2 linked regions of the Arabidopsis thaliana genome follow. The protein of the gene in region 1 interacts with the protein of each later gene in a pairwise test. Each region holds a gene or a part of one and is shown on either strand. Other genes may lie near its edges.

The links.
Region 2: the proteins of AT5G55650 (region 1) and SOBIR1 interact in a protein complementation assay, tested with the Arabidopsis thaliana proteins (one large-scale study listed by BioGRID).

The regions. Positions count from the first base shown.
Region 1 is NC_003076.8:22,533,937-22,537,568, forward strand, and holds AT5G55650 (uncharacterized protein), read left to right. Parts: upstream 1-2,135; 5' UTR 2,136-2,423; coding exon 2,424-2,888; 3' UTR 2,889-3,040; downstream 3,041-3,632.
Region 2 is NC_003071.7:13,552,819-13,557,567, reverse strand, and holds SOBIR1 (Leucine-rich repeat protein kinase family protein), read right to left. Parts: upstream 2,675-4,749; 5' UTR 2,649-2,674; coding exon 723-2,648; 3' UTR 591-722; downstream 1-590. Other genes in the region: RAP, read left to right, coding at 1-29, 121-203, 400-468; TEJ (Poly (ADP-ribose) glycohydrolase (PARG)), read left to right, coding at 3,812-4,054, 4,152-4,337, 4,639-4,742. UniProt on the Arabidopsis thaliana protein: Dual specificity kinase acting on both serine/threonine- and tyrosine-containing substrates. Acting as a counterplayer of BIR1, promotes the activation of plant defense and cell death.

The sequences.
Region 1 (3,632 bases):
TCATGGACACTCTCCGAAGGACCAACAGTTTACAAAAAATAATTTCTCAGCTCTTTGGCTTTTGAATGTGAATTTATGTATCAATTTTACAATAATTCGATTATTTTTCACCTGATTGATTTTTCGCGAAACCCTAAATGTTAGAGCTTGGGAAAAGGGGGAAACAGATAAATAATGATGGTGTTGAGGCGAATCGGATCGGATCCGGATTCGATTGTTTGCGATTGACACGGCGGAGAAGGAGATGTTAGGGATACTTTTGTAATCTACTATCGATGGTCGGTATTCAGCCACGTGTCAGCTACTCATTCGTGAAACTCCTAGACGAAAATGTTGCGTTGTGCTTTGTGAAACAAAACTAGTACTATGTGTTTGGTTTTTTGTTTATATTAGGGAAATTGCACTCTATATACATATAAAATTATAAAATTAAGTATTAGAAAAAACTACTCTCGAATCTTTTCTCTCTATCATGAAAATACCCTTATATCTCTATACCATATTTGCTTTTGACGTTAAATATTTTGTTACCTTTTAATAATAATGTTATCATCTTCCCATAATTATATAATCTTTAAAATCAAATCGTTGGTTCAATAGCTGGTAATTTGTTTATATCGTCAATTGTATTATTAACATGTTAAGTAGGTTTGTACCCTAAGTTTTTTCATCCATATATCAAAATCCTATCCATATTTTGCTAACAATATTATCCCGATAATACGTTATCTATTAACTATTCTGATGCACGTATTTTTTCTACATGATTATTCAGTCGCAAGTCAACTTTTATGGTATTCATGTTAAATATTTTATTATCTTTTAATAATAATGTTATCGTCTTCGCATATATATGTCTTTGAAATCTAAACATTGGTTTAATAACTGAAAATTTGCTTATATCGTCAAATATATTATTAACATATTAAGTTGGTTTGTACACCATGTCATTTCATCCATACATCAAACCCCATCCATATTTCGCTAACAATATTATCTCGATAATGCGTTATCTGCTAATTATCAGAGTTTTACCATATCACTTTGTAGGGGTATATTTGTCATATAGATTTTAATTGAAAAGAGATACCTAAATAAATGGTATTCATGTACAGATTCTTAATTATTTGATGGTCCATGTATAGATTTTTAAATCACCCTTTATATTATTGCTTTGTCTTTTTTTTTTTTTGTGAACATTATTGCTTTGTCTCTATATCTTTCATATTTTCACAAATGCAGTATGCCATATCATTTTGTAGTTACAAGAGTGTAGAGTTACTATGACTATGAAAAACAATTAAGTAAAATTTGCTTATTATAACTTTTAAGATATAAGAAATCAAATTACTTTTTCAAGGAAGCACAAAGCATAATAACGAAATCGTTGGATCCAATCCAACAACACTCGTATCGGATTTTTTTTTGGATATTTACCACAACAGCTAACAGTAGTAAAAGTTGTATCTCCAAATGAAAGCACACTATTAATATTTCAAGATTATCGAAATTTGAGTATCAAACAATTTAACCGCCAACTCTTGTTCTTTTATTAAAACAATTTTTCAGTTCATCGCTATCAACGTTTCACAATCTTACGATTTAATAACATCATTTCTTAGATAATTTCTTTTGTTAGTATTATATGATATCATATCATATCATATCATATCATTGATATCATATCATTAACCATCTCATGATTACCATTGAAAACAAATGGAGTCTTTTGTGAGACAAAGGTAGGTTCCTAAAGGATAAAGTGACAATTCCCTAAATTTCTTTAAACAATCAGAGGAAGAAATAATGATCACTTCAGTTGAGAATATTTTCAATAAATCAGATCGACAATCCTAGTTGACAACCAAAAAAATAAACGACAAACTTATGAAGGGGGTAACTTCTAGAGAAAGATTAAACTAGTACAACTTTACAAGTAGTTTTCAACCAAAGCTTAATGATACTAATATTTCCTTAACAAAAACAAGCATCCTTAATTAGTGGGCTTCACATGGATTTACCAAATTCCAAAGCTTTTTATAGATTTTTCAAAGTGTTTTATTTTTTCAAATACGTACATGCAAAAACCAATGCTTTTCCTTTTCTCGAAAAAATTTAGTTGCAGGTGTAATTATGTAAGTGTGAGAAAACAAATAAAGCTTTCTTGTTTGGTTCCTCTGACTTCCTCTGATTTCTCTCTCTCTCTTTCTCAGACTTGTCTCAAACTTTTCAAGAACTCAGATTCGTCTCTTTTCAATCTCTCTTCTTAAATCAAGATCCAAACATCGAAACTTTGGTTTAAAGATTTGAATAAGTCATAACTCAAAGATCCATTAACATCAATGGATAACGACACAATCTCGACTTCTCTTTATAACTAGCTCTGTCTTTGTTTTTGCTTTGAATTAAATAAAGTTTCTATAATGGTGGAAAAATCTGATGATGAAAAGCATTTTACTCGGTGTTGCTTTCTTTCACAGCTGTCACTGCTGTTTTTTCTTGTAACCCTAATTTCATCTGTAGCTTTCCTCTGTTTCTTGAACTCTCAAGGAGTCTCCTCTCTCACAATAACCATGGCAATCTTGTTCGTCTCCTCTTCTGTTTTCTTGTTACGAATCTTCAAGGAAAAGACAAGACTATGTTTGGCTGAGGGGTCCCAAGGAGAAGGCTACGATTATGAAGATGATGATGATGATGATGGTCTCATTGAGATTGATCTTGTGAGCGAAGAAGCAGAGACTATAGAGGCAATGAGAAACATTAATCAAAGTCGACTGAGAATTAGGATTGAAGAAGAACAAGAAGAAGATATTGATGATGTGAATATGGAAGAAGATAATCTTATTGAGATTGATATTTCCATTGGATCCATTAAAAGACGAATGTAATTTAGTTTAATAGATCTCATGATCACACCATCGTGTAATCCGATTTTTTCATTTCAAATGTACAAAGGAAATCCAACATTTTAATATATTATTGTTCTAGATATTTGGTGATTAGGGTTTAGGGTTTTAGGAGATATATATCAATCCCTTTTTATAGATGCATATATATATATATATATATATATATATATATATATAGTACTAATTAACTGTGGTAGTTCTTTTGCATTAAGATTGTGTAATAGATTGTTGACAAAAGACAAAAGATTGTGTAATAGATTCCTGAAAGGTTTTGTAAAACAAAACAAAAGAGTTGCAATTTCTTCGAAAGTACTCTCCGAGCATACCCCAAACTCCGCTAACTTATTTTCTATGCCAAAACACTTGTCTTTCTCTTATTGCAGAGTATATTTTTCTTCTTCTTCACTATATCATTTAAACATATAACTTCTTTTTACCAAATTTTTGGTTATTGAAAAACACTTTTCCTTTAACTTTACGAATCAATATACAAGCATAACTTATAATCATCCACCACACTAATCATCATGCACTTTGTTAATTGTTATGGCTTATGAGTCTTATGACTTAACATCCTTTTTAATCTGGTAAATCTAGCAAATAGGAATCCTCTGCAATCTGAATCTTGTTTCGAAATTTGAGAGTATGTTGATCTTGCGAAAATCGAAACAATCTTTGCAATGTAAGAAGATATGAAGCCGCATATGACTAACAAGAAAGTTG
Region 2 (4,749 bases), on another chromosome or scaffold:
CGGGCCAACTCATTTTTCAAGAAACTCTGGTAAGTGACATCACTCTGTTTCTTAATATATATTGGTGTCTGGTGGAGCCAACCCAAACTTAATGATCATTTCGACTCTTGTGTTCTACAGGACTACCATTAGGGCATACAATGCTGAAGCGGCGATATGTTGCTGCTGCTGGATGGAAAGTGGTATCTCTGTCTCTTCAAGAGGTGGGTCTATAACGTTGAAAAATGGAAACTGATATAAAATTGAGTTGCTAGGATAAGAAATTGTCTCCATTTTTAGAATACTTGTTCTGTTCAATAGTAAAAAGATCTCACATGCTCTTGCATAATTGATATGTTTTCCCATCTCAATCAGGAGTACATACTGAACATGTGTTGACTTTGTTTTTATTATTTTTAGTGGGAAGAACATGAAGGCAGTCATGAACAGCTAGAATATTTGAGGGAGATTCTCACCGGCTGCATATAGAGAAGACAAGTAACCAAACATGTAATGTGTTGTCATTTTAAGGTTGTTAATCAAGTGTTCTTTTCCGTTATGTATATAGCTAAGATTCTTATAGTAGATTGATGATTTATGTTTAGAGCAATAATCATAATTGAAATCCATTTAAATTTTACAGTCGCCATTACAAATTTCTGCCAAGATTGTGTTCATAGTTATTTCGTATGCAACAGGAATCTAGGAAATATAGATAGAAGCAAACAATACATATTGAAACACTAGTGCTTGATCTGGGACAACATGGTCCTGACATCTTTACTGTTCGGCCTCTGTTTTGGATCATCCAAAGTACAGTAACAGGCGATCTTCAGAACCAGAAGCATCTGTTCATCGAATCCTTGATCCATCAACTTCGGATCAATCGCAAGGCTAGGATTTTCCGATGTTATTATGTTCCTCATCCACTTTATCAGACTCATCTCGTCAGTATGCTGAAAAAACTCATCTGAAGGAAGCTTCCCAATCACCAGAATCCCAAGAATCACTCCAAAACTATAGATATCACATTTATCTGTGAACTTGTGGGTTTGATAAAACTCTGGTGCTATGTATCCCACAGTACCTGCAACATGCGAGGTTGTAATATGTGTGACTGCATCTGGCATTGCCTTTGCCAGTCCGAAATCTGAAATTCTGGCTTCCATGTCATCATCAAGAAGAACATTGGCTGGCTTTAAGTCTCTGTGAATGATTCGTGGGTTATGATCCATGTGAAGGTACTCAAGCCCTGCAGCTATACCTAAAGCAATCTTGTGCCTCGCTGGCCACATTAGTTCTTGATTTCCAGCTTGTACGTCAGTCAATATATCTTGCAAACTCCCCTTTTCCATGTACTCGTAAACGAGGTAGTGGCACTCGGGTCTTGACACGTGTGCTAACAATGGGAGAAGATTCCGGTGCCGGATATGGCCGACTGTGTTGATCTCGGATCTAATTTGCCTCATTTTCTTGTTCAGAAACTTGGAATCTTCATCTGTTAGTTCATCGGCGTCTTTAGGCGGTTGGATCACTTTCTTCACAGCTATGATCTTCCCATTGCTTCCTGGTAGTTCAGCTTTGAAAACTTCTCCACAACCTCCTCTTCCTATGATCTCCAGAGAAGCTAACGCTTCTTCATTCTCCAAGAAAGCTAAATCTTCAGCTTTCTTGATCAATGGGCTGAATATGGAAGGACCTGGTGGTTTTTCTGATCCTCTTATTGCTTGAATAATCAATTTGAACAACACCGAGAAGACAAACCCAGAGATTGTTCCTCCTATGGCTCCAACGACAAACCCTAAGATCCATGCCGCTACTTTCTTCTTCTTGCTCTTCTTCTTCTTCTTCTTCAACTTCCCTGGTTTTGGAGCTCCCTTTGGAGCTTTTGATGTAGTGCTGTTGTTGGGTTTGTTCGTGGGACTTGAAGTTGGAGTTTCAGCAAGAATGTGTCTTGTTTGATGTGGAGATGTCTGAAGCTTGATACTGCTCATAACCGGAGCCGGACCTTCCAAATACCGGTTTCCGGAGAAATCAAAGAACCGGAGATTGTGGAACGACACAATTTGTTCCGGGATTTTGCCTGAGAAGAGATTGTTTGCAACAGAGAGATTCTCCAGATTGCGTAGATTCTTCAAGAAATTCAAGTTCCCGGATAACTTGTTCGAAGAGAGATCAAGGATTCGAAGACGGCTCAAACTAGAAAAGTTTCCCGGAATCTGACCGGAAAATCTATTTTTCCGAAGATCAAGAACTTCAAGTTGCTTACAGCTTAAGATATCCACCGGAACAGCGTTGACCAACTGGTTATTAGACAAAGTAAGTTCCTTGAGCTCCGACAACATTCCGATGACCGGAGAGATAGTCCCCGTCAAGCTCCTGGATCGGTAGACGAGCCTCGTGACACGGAGAACGTATTCTCCGGTGGTGGCAGAGTGCCGTCTCTCGCAGAAAACTCCTCGGCGACCGCAAGGGTTGACATCACTGGCCGAAGAACGTTGACTGTTGACTCCGAGCTCTGTTTCGATGACCTGAAGAGCTTTGAGATCTGAGGAATCGATATCGAGCCACTCAACAGAGGAGACGAATGAAGAGAGAAGAAGAAAGGAGAGAACGGCGAGGATGAGAGGCCGGAGAAAGAGATTGGCGCTTCCCGTGGGAACAGCCATTTTAATTAGAGAAAGTTTCTTCTTGTGGATGTTGTCGGAGTCTACACTCTGTCTATTTATGGTCAGCAACTGGTACTAATCTATTGAGAAATCTTTACGTGTTTCGTGGTTTTTTTTTTCTTCTAAAACTTTATTTTTGAAGTGACAAAATATATTTGACCCAAAAAAAATAAAGTTACAAAATATATTCACAAGTTAATTTCTTAATATTGTTATACACTTATACATATAATTGGTAAACTTAAATTAACAGTTTGAAAAATTTATGGTTTGTTCAAGGGATCCATCCAAGCCCCGGTTTCATATCGAAAAAATGGGGTTTTCTATTGCTAGTATTTTATTTGATTAGTTTGATATTAATGATAGATTACTGAATTCTTACATAAGATCTCCTAACAAAATTGTATTTTATATTATGATATTTAGTTATCAATGGTTTTGGAGAAACATTGATTCAGCGTATACTTTTTGAATTATTTGTATATTCTTAATAAGAGTTCTGTTTTTAATTAAAGTCTAAAGAAGAAAAAACCATTATAAAAACTGATAATCCTGACCTGTGAAATGGGCTAAATTGTACATTTTTTTTTTGATTTAAATTCTTCCAGGAAGTTTTATGGGAAAATAATAAAGTAGAAAATGTGAATATAGAAAGTTGCAAAACTGTATTATTGATATAGCGAATTTTGTTATTGACTTGACTATGTAAGCGTTGATAAGTCAAAGTCTACGCTGTGGGTTCCATAGTGAGCCACCGTTTCCTACACGTTAGAAAAAAATAAATGTTATGTTACACACACCTTCTATTTTCCAGTCACTTTCTTTTAGCGTTTTCCGTCAATACGTTCGTTGTCTGTATCAAGATTCCAAACTGGTGAGTGTGAAATAACTCGAAACTGGCTTTTAACTTAAAATGAGTTAACCAGATAGCTAACGAGGATGTTATTGCCACTAAACCAATACATTACCGATATGGTTCAAGTTCCAACTTCCCGGTTCTACAAAACCGGTTTGCCTTTCGCCTTCGCACTCTTGACTTTTTTAGATTTTTTACTCCGGGACTTGAGTATCTTCTAGCGGCAGCAGAATCTTGTCGCAGAAGCGATTCGTAAACCTGTTTCAAAAGCAATTGAGAACAGCTGTGAGATTAGAAAAATCGAAAAATGGAGAATCGCGAAGATCTTAACTCAATTCTTCCGTACCTTCCACTTGTAATTCGTTCGTCGTCGCTGTATTGGCCGCCGCGTGTGGTGGAGGCGTTAAAGGCAATGTCTGAAGGACCATCTCACAGCCAAGTTGACTCAGGAGAGGTTCTACGGCAAGCTATTTTCGATATGAGACGATCCTTATCTTTCTCTACTCTCGAGCCATCTGCTTCTAATGGCTACGCATTTCTCTTTGACGAAGTAATTATCTCTTTTTAACTTTATGGTGATTGCTTTTGGATTTGAGTGTATCTTCAAATCGAATTGAGTAGTGGAACTAAGTTTTTGGTACTCGCAGTTGATTGATGAGAAAGAATCAAAGAGATGGTTCGATGAGATTATCCCAGCATTGGCGAGCTTACTTCTACAGTTTCCATCTCTGTTAGAAGTGCATTTCCAAAATGCTGATAATATTGTTAGTGGAATCAAAACCGGTCTTCGTTTGTTAAATTCCCAACAAGCTGGCATTGTTTTCCTCAGCCAGGTATTGATACAAAGTGCTATCTCCTACATTTGAGCTAAAGGTGTTTTTTTGGTTCTATTCCTGACTCTTGAGTAGTGATTTATGGGGAGGAAATTACGTCGAATATACATGTGTTCTTACTGGATGATTACCTTGTGTGTTGAAGATATAGTCTCTATGGATTCTTGCTTTTCTTACTGGATAATGACCTTGTGTTGAATATACATGTGTTCATACTGGATAATGACCTTGTGTTGTTGAAGATATAGTCTCTATGGATTCTTGCTTTTCTTACCTGTCCGTTCGAACTTCAATATTGCAGGAGTTGATTGGAGCTCTTCTTGCATGCTCTTTCTTTTGTTTGTTTCCGGATGATAATAGAGGTGCAAAACACCTTCCAGTCATCAACTTTGATCATTTGTTTGCGTATGTT